Linked DNA regions of Arabidopsis thaliana. The protein of the gene in region 1 interacts with the protein of each later gene in a pairwise test. Each region holds a gene or a part of one and is shown in the gene's direction. Other genes may lie near its edges.

Evidence for each region.
Region 2: the proteins of AT2G29310 (region 1) and AT2G30540 interact in a two-hybrid assay, tested with the Arabidopsis thaliana proteins (one large-scale study listed by BioGRID).

Annotation. Positions count from the first base shown.
Region 1 is NC_003071.7:12,586,577-12,593,941, forward strand, and holds AT2G29310 (NAD(P)-binding Rossmann-fold superfamily protein), read left to right. Parts: upstream 1-3,289; 5' UTR 3,290-3,491; coding exon 3,492-3,556; intron 3,557-3,651; coding exon of another isoform or gene 3,652-3,656; coding exon 3,657-3,864; intron 3,865-3,964; coding exon 3,965-4,181; intron 4,182-4,278; coding exon 4,279-4,385; coding exon of another isoform or gene 4,386-4,394; exon of another isoform or gene 4,395-4,492; coding exon 4,493-4,684; 3' UTR 4,685-4,903; downstream 4,904-7,365. Other genes in the region: AT2G29290 (NAD(P)-binding Rossmann-fold superfamily protein), read left to right, coding at 81-288, 424-640, 721-827, 917-1,108; AT2G29300 (NAD(P)-binding Rossmann-fold superfamily protein), read left to right, coding at 1,638-1,702, 1,794-2,001, 2,089-2,308, 2,395-2,501, 2,605-2,763, 2,966-3,067; AT2G29320 (NAD(P)-binding Rossmann-fold superfamily protein), read left to right, coding at 5,604-5,686, 5,788-5,995, 6,083-6,302, 6,413-6,519, 6,610-6,801.
Region 2 is NC_003071.7:13,008,535-13,015,312, reverse strand, and holds AT2G30540 (Thioredoxin superfamily protein), read left to right. Parts: upstream 1-3,269; 5' UTR 3,270-3,745; coding exon 3,746-4,054; 3' UTR 4,055-4,208; downstream 4,209-6,778. Other genes in the region: AT2G30550 (alpha/beta-Hydrolases superfamily protein), read right to left, coding at 1-429; AT2G30530 (zinc finger CCCH domain protein), read right to left, coding at 4,446-4,694, 4,782-4,946, 5,094-5,240, 5,449-5,559, 5,653-5,835, 5,982-6,242. UniProt on the Arabidopsis thaliana protein: May only reduce GSH-thiol disulfides, but not protein disulfides.

The DNA of each region.
Region 1 (7,365 bases):
TAGATGCTCTTTTATTGCATTGTGATATTTAGTTATGGAAGAACTGACTATGTTTGTGTGTGTGTGCGTGTCATGAACAGGGAAGCTGTTGTGGAGGAACTGTCAATTTTGGGAGCAAGAGTCCACACATGTGCTAGAGACGAGACTCAGCTTCAAGAACGTTTACGTGAATGGCAAGAAAAAGGGTTTCAGGTCACCACTTCTATCTGCGACGTTTCTTTGCGTGAGCAACGAGAGAAACTCATGGAAACCGTTTCCTCTCTCTTCCAAGGAAAACTCAACATCCTCGTAAGTGTATACATATTAGCTTCTCCTCCCCGGGCTTGGGATTTACAAGAACCAAACCATGTTGTGTTTTTAATTACTTTTTTTTTTTTTGTAAAGATGTTTTTAGTTGTTGGTCTATACATATCTTATATATAGGTGAACAATGTGGGAACGTTAATGCTCAAGCCGACCACAGAGTATACAGCAGAAGAATTCTCGTTTCTTATGGCTACAAATCTCGACTCAGCTTTCCATATTTCACAGCTTGCGCACCCTTTGTTGAAAGCCTCTGGCTCAGGGAGCATTGTGCTCATGTCCTCTATTGCCGGAGTCGTGCATGTCGGTGTTGGATCCATCTATGGAGCAACAAAAGGTACTGTATATACTCTTTAAAACAATATTTCTTTACATTATGATTTATATGCAAGTGTATATAAAAGCATTTTTTTTCAGGAGCCATGAATCAGTTGGCTAGAAACTTAGCTTGCGAATGGGCAAGCGACAACATAAGGACTAACGCTATTTGTCCATGGTTAATCACAACTCCTTTGATTAGTGATGTAAGGACAATTTCCTTAGAACAACGGCGAAAAAAAAATAAAAAATAACTTTTGATTCTAACTTTTTAACTTATTTGAAAATCCCTCAGCTTCTCAGTGTTGAGGAGATGAAAAAAGAAGCAGAGGAAAGGACACCCATGGGGCGTGTGGGAGAGGCAAATGAAGTCTCACCGCTTGTGGCATTTCTTTGTCTTCCTGCAGCTTCTTATATTACTGGTCAAGTCATTTGTGTTGATGGAGGTCTCACTGTTAATGGCTTCTCCTATCAGCCACATGCTTGAGCTAGGTCTGTGTTGTGTGTATTGTCCAATGAAAACAGTAAACCAAACAATAACATCGGAAAATGAATGATTTGAATATTTAGGTTAAGCCTTAAAACTAAATTCATTTTGGTATGTTGACATATTGTAAAACGTAATGAACAAGAAACCTTAACAGAAGATGTTTCTTTTAAGAGTACACGAGCCTTGCAGAAACAGAACACAAGTTGAACTCAAATGAGAAGATGGGCTTCGACACTCATCAACTTACAATGCTCAGTTGATCAAGCACAAAGACAGAATCATGCAATGATGACTCAAAAGGACAGATGGCTTCACTGTTGAAGATTTTGACTATATGTCATTTTTTGCTTGGGACACTTCGATATTTTAGTCATGTTTTCTAACATACGACTACATAGTTTCTCAACATGCCACGTACAAACAAGACAACAAACTCATTAATTCATACTTATCTGGATTCTGATCCACATTTACTGTATACATAATTTGTGGCATTTCTGGTCACTGCTAGTAACAAGCAAGAAAAATGGATAAAAGATGGAGTCTACAAGGAATGACTGCTCTTGTAACCGGTGCAGCCAGCGGTATCGGGTTTGTTTTTTTCTGTTCTCTATATCATCTTTTGAATCATTGTTCTGCTTATGTTTCAAGGAATTTAATCTATGTCTGTGGAATGTTTTAGTTATGCCATAGTAGAGGAGTTAGCTGGTTTTGGAGCTAGAATCCATGTATGCGACATATCCGAAACTCTGCTTAATCAAAGCTTAAGAGAATGGGAAAAGAAAGGGTTTCAAGTGAGTGGTTCAGTCTGTGATGTAACCTCTCGTCCCGAGAGAGAAAAACTGATGCAAACCGTCTCTTCGCTTTTCGATGGCAAACTAAACATTCTTGTAAGTAAATGATCTTTATATAGAAACAACTAAGCATTTCTTTTAGCAAAATTTTCTAAAGAGAAATCTTCTTTTTGTTCAACATAGGTAAACAATGTGGGCGTACTTCGCGCAAAGCCAACAACAGAATATGTGGCAGACGATTTCACTTTTCATATCTCAACAAACTTGGAAGCTGCTTACCATTTTTGCCAACTTTCACATCCTCTCTTAAAGACTTCAGGCTATGGAAGCATCGTGTTCCTTTCCTCTGTTTCTGGGGTTGTGTCAATAACTGACTGTGGATCACTTTATGGTCTAACAAAAGGTAACCACAATTACTACAAATCTGACTAATCAACAAAGAGTTTTTCACTTCCTTATTTTTTAGTGGTTTGTTGACTTCTTTTGTAGGAGCTCTAAATCAGCTAGCTAGAAATTTGGCATGTGAATGGGCAAAAGACGGCATAAGAGCCAATGCGGTTGCACCTAATGTTGTCAAGACTGCTCAGTCTCAATTCGTAAGAAATAAATTTTAATTTTTTTTTTACGTTTTGGTGTTGTTGTTGTGAATTTAACAACCTCAATTCCTCTTATTATCTCTAAATTTTTGTTTCTTAAAAGTTTCTTCAAGACGTCAGTAAAAAGGAGGGATTGTTTAGTAGAACTCCACTTGGTCGGTCTGGAGAGCCGAATGAAGTAGCATCACTAGTGGTCTTCTTGTGTCTTCCTGCAGCTTCTTATATCACAGGTCAAACCATTTGTATTGATGGAGGCCTCACGGTTTACGGTTTCTCCTCTCAACCACAGGCTTGAAAATGGTCTTGTCGTTTCTTGTCTGTTTAAATATTCTCTCCCTAATAAAATCTCTCATCACGCTATGAGTTTATGTCCCTTGTACAAAAACACACAATGTCAAATTGTTGCTCTTTAGTCTTGTAAGAGAAATGAGGGACTTATCTATATGAAGGATCAATTAAACTAGTACTATTTTATTTGTTTGGTTAAACTATCCTTCTCTAATTATTGCAACTTATGTGTCTATATATGGATTAATGTCATAAGTACTAGATGGAATCAAAGATAACACTAAATAGCGTTAGTCATAGAATCATACTCACAAGAATGAGTCCTCTAAGTTCAATGGACCACTCCGAAGTCCATCATGAGAACAAGACCAATCAATAAAAATGTCCTTTTGTTATCTAAATTAGCAAGTGTACCAAATTTTGTTCACCATTCTAACTTATAATTTCAGTTTTCTTTTGTGAGTGAAGTTATTGAAAAAGAAAAATAAGAAAGTATTGGTCAAAGATTTTGACAACAACAAGTTATTTTCTTGAGGAACCACCAACTTAGATATTTTAGTCATGTTCTCTGTTATAAGTCCTACTGCTACTACATAATGTTTCCACCACACATAAAAAACAAACTCAATAATTCACACTTATCTGATCCACATTCATTGTATATAATCTTATGGCATTTCTGGTCATTTAGTCTCAAGCAAAATGGATAAGAGATGGAGTCTACAAGGTATGACTGCTCTTGTAACCGGTGCAGCCAGTGGAATCGGGTTCGTCTTAATTCTCTGTTCTCTATATCATGTTTTTGGCTCATTGTTCTTCTTGTATTTCTAAATTGTCAAGACTTAAAGGAATTTTTGTGTAGTGTAGGTATGCCATAGTAGAGGAGTTAGCAAGTTTTGGAGCTATAATCCATATATGTGACATCTCTGAAACTCTTCTCAGTCAAAGTTTAAGTGAATGGGAAAAGAAAGGGTTTCAAGTGAGTGGTTCAATCTGTGATGTAGCTTCTCGGCCCGATAGAGAAAAACTGATGCAAACCGTCTCCTCGCTGTTTGATGGCAAACTCAACATTCTTGTAAGTAAATGATCTTATAGGAAAAGGCGAAAAGCCAAGCATAGTTGTTTAAAGAGAGCTTCTTAACATAAATCTTATGGAAATGCCTAATCATATGTAGGTAAACAATGTTGGTGTAATACGTGGAAAGCCAACAACAGAATATGTGGCAGAGGATTTCTCTTACCACATCTCAACAAATTTGGAACCAGCTTTCCATTTTAGCCAGCTTTCACATCTTCTTTTAAAGGCTTCAGGATTTGGAAGCATCGTCTTTATGTCCTCTGCTACAGGGGTTGTATCAGTTCAATGTGGATCCATTTATAGTCTAACTAAAGGTAACCAAAGTTGCTACTAGAGGTAGTTCATTGCAAGACTGACTAATCAAATATGTTTTTTTTTTAAATTGCTTTTTTCTGTTGATTTATTTTACAGGAGCTTTGAACCAGTTAACTAGAAATTTAGCATGTGAATGGGCAAAAGACGGCATAAGAGCCAATGCTGTTGCACCTAATGTTGTCAAGACTCCTTTGTCTCAATCTGTAATATAAAAAAAGTCAACATTTACATTTTAGTTTTTATTTTTTATGTGAATGTAACAATCTCAATTATATTCCTCTAATTAATTCTCAATTGTGTGTTCTTGAAGTATCTCGAGGACGTCGGTTTCAAGGAGGCATTGTTCAGTAGAACTCCACTTGGTCGCGCTGGAGAGCCGAATGAAGTTGCATCACTAGTGGTCTTCTTGTGTCTACCAGCAGCTTCTTATATTACTGGTCAAACCATTTGTATTGATGGTGGTTTCACTGTTAATGCCTTCTCTTATAAGCCACAGGCTTGATAATGGCCTTGTTGTGTTTTGTCTAAATGTCTTATGCAAAACTATGCTCAATCAACTTTTGTGGGATTGGATTTTAATTGTGGTTCGGTATGTGGTTCATATCTTTGTCACGAGAGAGAAACACATGCAAATCGCCTAAATTATATGTGTGGCAAGCTCAACATTCTTTTATGTAAATCATAATTTAAAGAAACTAAGCATACAATGGGTTAAGCTGGCTTTAAGTATTTGAACAAGAAGATGTTTCTGATAACAAAGAGTAAGCCAAAAGCAGATCACAACATGCTTTAAAATCCCTATGAAATAATTGGAGAAATGTCACAAACCATCTTTATATATATAATTCAAAGGTGAACGCAAAAGCTTGATAGTTCTTTCCTTTATTGTCTGTTTCACTAAAGATATCATTACAAATTAAGTCAAGATCCATCATCTCTTACATCACTATTTGTCACACGAAAAGTATGAGAGAAACATTTTCCTATTTGCTTGCCATTATAATAAGCTTCATATAGGGAAGGAAGCAAGGAAAAAATGAGATAAAGAGAAAAGAATGAGTATTGGGGGAAGTAGTATAGTAGTAGAGAGTCGTAGAAGAGTTATCTTCTAAGGTCATTAGTGATGAAGAGTTCATAGTTAGTTTACTTTGTTCAAGGTGGATAAGCAATAGGGTTTAGGCCTTTGTTATTATCAGACTTCTACTTTTGGAAGACACTAAAAAGTTGTTATCTAGCCATAAGAAAGTTTTGGCCAAAGGTTTTGACTACAAAATGTCATTTTTGCCGGGGCCACTAACTTAGATATTTTTGTAATGTTCTCTCTTACGGCTACATAATATTTCCACCACACATACAAAAACATACTCCACACTTATCTGATCCATATTCATTGTATATATAGTTTGTGGCATTTCTGGTATATGGTCACTAGAAAAATGGACAAAAGATTATGGAGTCTTCAAGGTATGACTGCTCTTGTGACCGGTGCAGCCAGCGGAATCGGGTTCGTAGTTCTTCTCTATTCTCTTAAGTTTATGTTCTGCTTCGATATAACAACCTGAATGGTCAAGATTACATGGAATTCATATTTGTGGAATGTTTTAGTTATGCCATAGTAGAAGAGTTAGCTGGTTTTGGAGCTAAAATCCACATATGTGACATATCCAAAACTTTGCTCAATCAAAGTTTAAGCGAATGGGAAAATAAAGGGTTTCAAGTGAGTGGTTCAGTATGTGATGTAACCTCTCATCCTGAGAGAGAAAAACTGATGCAAACCGTCTCCTCGATTTTCGATGGCAAACTCAACATTCTTGTAAGTGAATGATCTTTATATAGAAACAACTAAGCAAACTCTACAAAACAAAAAGATAACTTAAGAGAGAATTTTTGTTCAACATAGGTAAATAACGTGGGGGTACTTCGCGGAAAGCCAACAACAGAATATGTGGCAGACGATTTCACTTTTCATATATCAACTAACTTGGAAGCTGCTTACCATTTTTGTCAACTTTCACATCCTCTCTTAAAGGCTTCAGGCTATGGAAGCATTGTATTCCTTTCCTCTGTTGCTGGGGTTGTATCACTAATTGACTGTGGATCCATTTATGGTCTAACAAAAGGTAAATTACTCCAAATCTGACTAATCAACAAAGAGTTTTTTACCAAAAAAAACAAAACAAAGAGTTTTCTGCTTCCTTATTTTGTAGTGTTTTGTTGACTTCTTTTATAGGAGCTCTAAATCAATTAGCTAGAAACTTGGCATGTGAATGGGCAAAAGACGGCATAAGAGCCAATGCTGTTGCACCTAATGTTGTCAAGACTGCTCAGTCTCAATCGGTAAAATAAAAATAACTTTTACATCTTTTTATTTTTGTGGATTTAACGACATCAATTTCTCTAATTATCTCTCAATTTTTGTGTTAAAAGTTTCTTGAAGACGTCAGTAAAAAGGAGGGATTGTTGAGTAGAACTCCACTTGGCCGTGTTGGAGAGCCGAATGAAGTTTCATCACTAGTGGTCTTCTTGTGTCTACCTGCAGCTTCTTATATCACAGGTCAAACCATTTGTGTTGATGGAGGTCTCACGGTTAACGGTTTCTCCTATCAACCACATGCTTGAGAAATAGTCTTGTCGCTCTCAAAGTTCTATATCTAATAAAAGTTCTCATTCTATGAGTTTATAAACGTAAACATCAATGAGTTTGCAATTCCATATTGGAGATACTAATCTCGCACATATACAAGATTCGGTTACACCCGCTACGCCAACAACTCACACCAATGTGATCTCTCATTCTCTCTCATAAATGAAATGTTATACTATTTTTTGAGAATTGTAGCATTGATAGGATAGATTACAGTCTATATGTCTCTGATTTTAAATGTTAATTGTAACACAAGATGATTATATTGTACATATTTTTGTTGTTGTTGTTCCGTCTATTTTGCTGATTATACTTGTTTATTGTTGTTCTTCCGTGTCTGTCGTGTTTTATCTGTTTGTCTTAAACTTTGTATTTTATATCTTGTGATTTTTGATACTACACGACAAAAATGACCTTGTCGTGTTTTATCTTGTGAATTATTTTATTCTTTCGCTATTAGATTAATCCATTTTGTGAATAATTTGCGAGCAAGGCCCTCACACACATAATTATACCTTTTGAGTCTTGAATCAAAAGGC
Region 2 (6,778 bases), 420 kb from region 1:
GAAAGCGTCGTAACAAGCTTGAGCCATTTCGCCGTAACGGATTAGCTCCGATCTAAGAATTGGATCCATTGGATCCATTAACCCGGCCCAATCGTCTTCTCCTTGGATCTTACGCCACGTGTCTCTTAGTCTTCTTTCTTCTTCGGTTTTTTTATCTCGCCGGCGAATATCTTCCGCCGTCATCCATAGTTCTCCAGCTCCTTCCGCTTCCTCGATTAATAAACCTTGTCTTTCCCGCCTTTCTCGCTCGAGGCGAGAAATCACGGCGGATAAAGACGACTCGTCGGTTCTGGACAAAGCTCTCGTAGCTACTCGGAATTTGGCGGGAAAATTGATTTCTGAGAAATTGGTATTTAGGGAAGAAGAACCGGTTATGGAGTTTTTGTGGTTGATGGTAAGAAGGTTGTTGTGGGAAGGAATAGCCGCCATTGTTGAGAAGCTTCAAAAGCTTGATTTCGTAATTGGTTGACGAAGAAGCCTTTATAACACATAAAAATAGCTTAACGTGTACTTCAAGACACAAATGGTAATAAGGTAATAAATAAATTGTCATCGATTTCATACACACTTGATAGTATTTATTTTATTTGATAAGTTATAAATTATATTTATTTAGTTTTGAGTGTGTTTGGTAGTGATTGCACAATGCTTAAAGGCAATAAGCAGGCTCTAGGGATTGAGGTTAAGGATCTAATGATCTATCACGGTGATAAAAAAAAAGTAGTAGTATACACTAATTTAAGATTTTGCTTTTCAACATTAATGTACATTTTATTTTAAAATTGTAAGATCTACAAAAGTTTATAATGAAATTGTTTTTTGAGTTATGAGTCTAGATCTAAAGCAAAAACTAAGTCGTCTTTTATGTTTCTGTTTTAGTTAAGAGGATTTTTGTTTTTCATATTGAGTTAATTAGTAAAAATATCATAACATTGCTTAATTTTCACTTCAAATAACAAAGCGACGACTTTTACATTGTTATAGTATATTAAGTTTCAGAAAACTATTTATAAGATTAACTCTTATATCACCGGTAAGTGACAAGAGAATTGAATTACTCAACTTGCCGTCAAAAGGAAAAAAGAATGACTCAACTCATATAATATAAGAGTATGCTTTGGCCTTCGTGTGGAAAAGTCATGGACCAATGGCATCATGGCAACACATAACATCAGTTTTCAAGTAATATTTTCGTATACTATATTACAAATGTACAATATATATATCAAAAGTCTAATGTGAATTTGCTGTCAAAGAATACGAACTCTAATGTGAATCCATATCTAGATGCTTCTTAATAATTGAATTATAAGATTGTTGAAATATTAAAGACGTTTTTAATGGTCTTTATAAATGACCTAAAACTGCATATGAATAATTGACCCCCGACCATATATTTACAACAAAACGACAGCTCAATCTCGTCACATTATGTAATGAGAATGAGGTGTCCTTCTCTCGTCACTAGCTTACTTACTTTATGTTTCATCATTAAATATTTGGACATGTGATTTAATGAATTAATTAGTTATAAAATATAATAGAGAAAAAAATAGCGTTGGAGAACATTCAAGTCAACTTGTATTTGTTTGGTGGTTTCATCTGAAAATCCAAAATAACTCAATTTGTATTTCATTTATTTAATTGTGATATCTTACTAATTTTTGCAATCTGGTACAGATCAGAATGAATGGATCCATACTGTTTAAAATATATATATATAGATGTTTTTAGTAAGAATGATTGAATGTTATATATATAGAATCGAGTTCACGCTTTTGTGGAGATTTTCTATGGTGACATCCTAACTCACACGTATTTTATATTCTTTTCTGATTCGAAGAAGTTTTCTATGCCATTAAATATAGTTCCAAAATCAACCCATTTGCTTTTGTTAGAAATAATTTTTGCGTTATGACTTATTAAACATATATGAGATTTCTATAAGTCATTGGTATGTCACTTAGCTAGGAGGTTGCACGTTCAATTTTCTTCTCAGTTTGGTCATAGTCGTCGAGACAATGCATACCCGGCCCATTTCTTTAGACCATATCCGAAAATGAACCCTCTAAATATTCAAATTCTTGTATATTCTTAAAGCTAAACAACTCACTTCTGAAAACTGCTTAAAAGATTATTAGCTTTTGAAACATAAATATATAAATTTATCGGAGAGAAAGAGTAACTATGAATCTATGATCATGCATGGCTTATAAGGGAGTTTGTAGTAGCCATTATCGCCAGCCTGCCATTATCTTTTATGGCCACTTCTTCAAGGTTTCATCGTGTGAGTGACCATATAACCTCACTTAGCTACTAACCCTTTTTCAATCATTAATTATAATCCCTAGAAAGCTTTTTACCAAACCAAAACAAATATTTCTATATAGGGCAAGTCTCCGATCTTACGGGAAGCACTTTTTGGTGGTAATGGAAGAGGGGGTTAACATAGATATTCAGATGGTCATATATATAATTAATATAAGAATCAAGAAGATCAATTCCAAATATATGCTGAGTTTGTAACTATGTTAAGTTTCATGGATTTCTAACTCTAATCCTTATCTTTCGAGGTGATGATTGTCTTGGTCCAACTCAAATTGTTCTCATTCTATGAAGGACAACATATCTTACTTGGACCAAATAAGTTCCTTAATCTTTAAACAAAATCAATTGGCGTTAGTAAATTAATTCATGTCCTATACATATTACTCTAGGTCTAAGCTTACTTCAACTGACATGGGATCTCATAATCACTGGTTTACTTTAGTCAAGTGGTAAATGGGAAAGAATCTTGGCAAATTGTTGAAAGGGAAGTGGCACACAAGAGAAAGTAAGAAACCGATAGGAGTTATTATTCCTTCATGATCAGAAGTGAGATTGAGAGAATCTCACAAAGACAATCATATCTTGTTGTATAGTGACATGTTTCAAGAATAGGGTTTTTAATTGTTGACACACACACGATCCAATCCATCAAACCCAGCCTGATCTCTTTTTCGTGGCTGCGAAAAATACCGTCAATCAAGAGAAGAATAAGCATATCTCTCTGCTTATTCCCCACCACTTTGGGCTATCTCACACCCACACCCTTCATCTGAGCATGATTCTTGAACAAAATAATATTCTTCGAGAGAAAAAGTAAAAGCTTGGTCCACATAAATTGTAAGATTCTAATCCGATCATGCATAAAAAAGTTGCAAATACATATATAAAACATGTGCGGATGTACCATATTCTTTAGCATCTGCAACAAAGAAACATATTGTCCTGTTCAACTCAAAATGCTCACTTTGGTATCTAGGAGGAAAAAAGGGTAGGTGAATTGTGATTATGCAACTTTTGTTGGTCCTTCCTTACTAATATAATATGAATTAAAGAGGAAAACAAAATATTAACAAAGTCACTTTAATGTACTTGGGGAACCTTTAGCTAGATCTCCTGTGATCTCTCTTTTTTTGGTCTCTAACATTCTTTTCTTCTTTCTTTCTTTGCTTATAAATAGCATATGGTTCAAGAAACTCAAGTCTCAGGCAACACTGAGCTTAATACTGTAGTACACACACACACACACACACACACACACACAAAACCCTCTTTTCTTCAAACAGGAACCCCAAAAGCGAGGTTTAATCTCAGGCGTTTTCAGTTCTAAATCTCTTTCAATCCACAAGAGAAGGAAGATTTTGTTTCTTCTTCTCCAAGAAACAATCCCTAGATTGATCGAGACCTCCTTCAAGAAACCATGGACAAAGTTGTGAGAATGTCGTCAGAGAAAGGAGTGGTTATTTTCAGCAAGAGCTCGTGTTGCATGTCCTATGCGGTCCAAGTACTTTTCCAAGACCTTGGGGTTCACCCAACAGTCCATGAGATCGATAAAGACCCTGAATGTCGTGAGATCGAGAAAGCCCTAATGAGGTTAGGGTGTTCCACGCCGGTCCCAGCCATCTTTGTGGGTGGGAAGCTCATTGGTTCGACCAATGAAGTCATGTCGCTTCACTTAAGCGGCTCGCTGGTTCCGCTAGTTAAGCCGTTTCAAGCCAATCTATGTTAAAAAGGTGTTCTAATTTTCTATACTACAAAAATGTATTTCAATAAGAAACACAAATCTTATAGCCTATGCAACCTTTGTAATGTAGCTTTATATATATATTGTTTGTTCTGTAATTTCAGGTAATATCCAATAATAATTGACTAATTTCTACTCACCAGTTCAACTTTTAGCTTTCATGGTACTGTTTCAGGGAAATAATAGAACATTCTTCTTTTATTTAAGTTAATTAAGGGTAATAAATAACATTCACTGCTAATTCTTAAGACCCCACCCCAAATAAAGAGTACAGAGTATATATATTTCTACAAATACAGAGCAATTACAGGCAACGATTTGTCTTCTTGTCTGATTCACAACAAGAACAGCAGAAACTGATAGTTGTTGTGGTGTTTCATTTGAGCTCCAAGAAACTTGGATTTGGATTGTAAGAGTTATCTGATGAAGAAGACATTGAAGACACATTAATGGGATATACCTCCGTTACTTCTTCAGTCTTCTCATCAAAGTAGACCACATCTTGCATTGTTAGCTGGTGATATTCGACGACTCCTCTCAGATAGAGGTTTTCGCGGGTGTATATCGAGTTTTCATGAGCCAACCGTGCTTTCTCAGCTAACAGTGTTTCCAGTTGAAGTCGCACCTATAGATGAGAGAAAACACACAACCAAAGATCAGAAATGTACATAAAGAAATGTTAACATTAATGGCTTTGTAAAGAGTAAAATACCAGATCATCGTCATCTGTCTGACTGTCGCCACTACGGTTCTCCCTCAGAACCTTATTTTCTTCTTCCAGCTGTGCGCATCGTTGCTTCGCAAAAGCCAGATCAGACTTTACCATCTTCAGCTCCCGAAGTAAAAGCTTTGCCTTGGCAGCCATGGCCATTGCAACCTGTTGAGATTAATTCAAAGGAGGCTCAGTATCAATACTAAAAACGATTATTCTATAATCATTCACTGAAGAGATAACAGCAGCGGAAATAAGCAGATATAAATTTGCTGCTGTGAACCAATAAATGATACAGAGCAGCCACCTTACGTCGCGAGATGCCTTTAGTTGAATCTCCAAATCAGCTTGTATCTCAGGATTCTGCTGGTTCCTTGTAAGACTTGGCTTTTTTTTAATCTTTTTACGGGTTTCTTGAATGATGCCTGCAGTACGATTCTCCACAGCTGTAATACCCTCCTAAGAATAATCACAGACAAACAACAATCTCAACCCAACAAACTCTCATTTAGTACAGTGCAGAAGATGCACCGATACACACAAGAATGCATATGCCTCTGTATACACAACTAATGTGAGAACTCGCATAACCTAAAGAAAAAAACAAAACTAATATATGTCTCCTATAGTGTGCCATATACGGGTGCATAAAGAGTAAGAAACTAACCTCAACAACAGTACCAATGGTGCCACCAATGTAATTCAACGATGAAGTGATCGCATCTAATCTTCTCTGTAATGAAGGATTCTCGCTTTTCCTACCAGTCTGACCAGCTTCCTGAAACATGGAAATGGATTTCTACTCCATAAGAACGCAACCCCACAAAACAATTGGAAGAGCAAATGCAACTATAAAAACCTAGTCTTTAACCTTAGTTCCTGAAGTTGTCGCAGAAGGTATGCTCTGCTCCATTCTCTTAGGACTTTGAGGCAACTGATTAGGATCATCCTCATCCAAAAAAGCCTTAGCTTTACTAGCTAAACTTCCCCAAAAGCCTCGTTTTGGTTCATTCAAACTCTTCATAGAAGTATACTCATAAGCCTTATTCACCTCCTATTCAAACGATTCAATTGAGGCAAAAACAGAGTAAACCCATGAATCATTTGGAACATTTCAATTGAAGCAAAAACAGAGTAAACCCATGAATCATTATGAACAATTAAGCGACACCAGAAAGAGAGAAGAACAAAAGATGAAACCTTGGGAGGAGTGGGAACAGGAGCAGAAGAAGGAGACGAGTAAGCAGAAGAAAGAGAAGAGTCTCTATGCGCAGAAGATGCTCGAATTGCCTTGGCAGCGAGAGAGGACGCAGCAGATGATGAAGCCGAAGATGGAGACGGAGACGACGAAGATGAATAAGACATTCTCGTCGTCGGCGTCATCATCCTTTCCTTATCTTTCTCCGTCTCCATTTCGAGATCCTCGAATCTGAAATCCTCGATTTCGTCGACTTTGTTCATCAACTTCTGACGCTCATGCTCAATCACAGTCTCCAAATTTGGTGGGTCGATTTAGGGTTTTCCCAAAAGAGAATCCTTTTGGAATTGAATGGATCTCTCTCTGTTTCGCAAATGATGCCAAATTTTCAATTTTGGTGTCGTCAACGCTAGACAGGTGCTATCTCAAGATTCCGGTTATTGATTGAATCCTTGGTTTTCTACAAATGTGTTAAACCGGGTTTCTCCTACTATGAGATTTCATTATACCATTCAAACATGACCTCATAAAGATCTACATTCTAGTAGGGGATGTGGGCTATGTGGTGGTGGAATATTCCGGTTTGCTTGATAGATTTGGGTTTTGTTATGATCTACATTCTCACTAGTTAGTAGGGGATGTGGGCTATGGCCTATGGTGGTGGAAGAATATTCCTGTTTGATTGATAGGTTTGGTTTTGATATTTTGTAGACTTGGCGGTTTGGTTCGGTTTGTAGACCAGACGGTTTGGTCATGTTGTCTGGCATACAAATTAATGGTTTAGCTGTCAAATACAAAA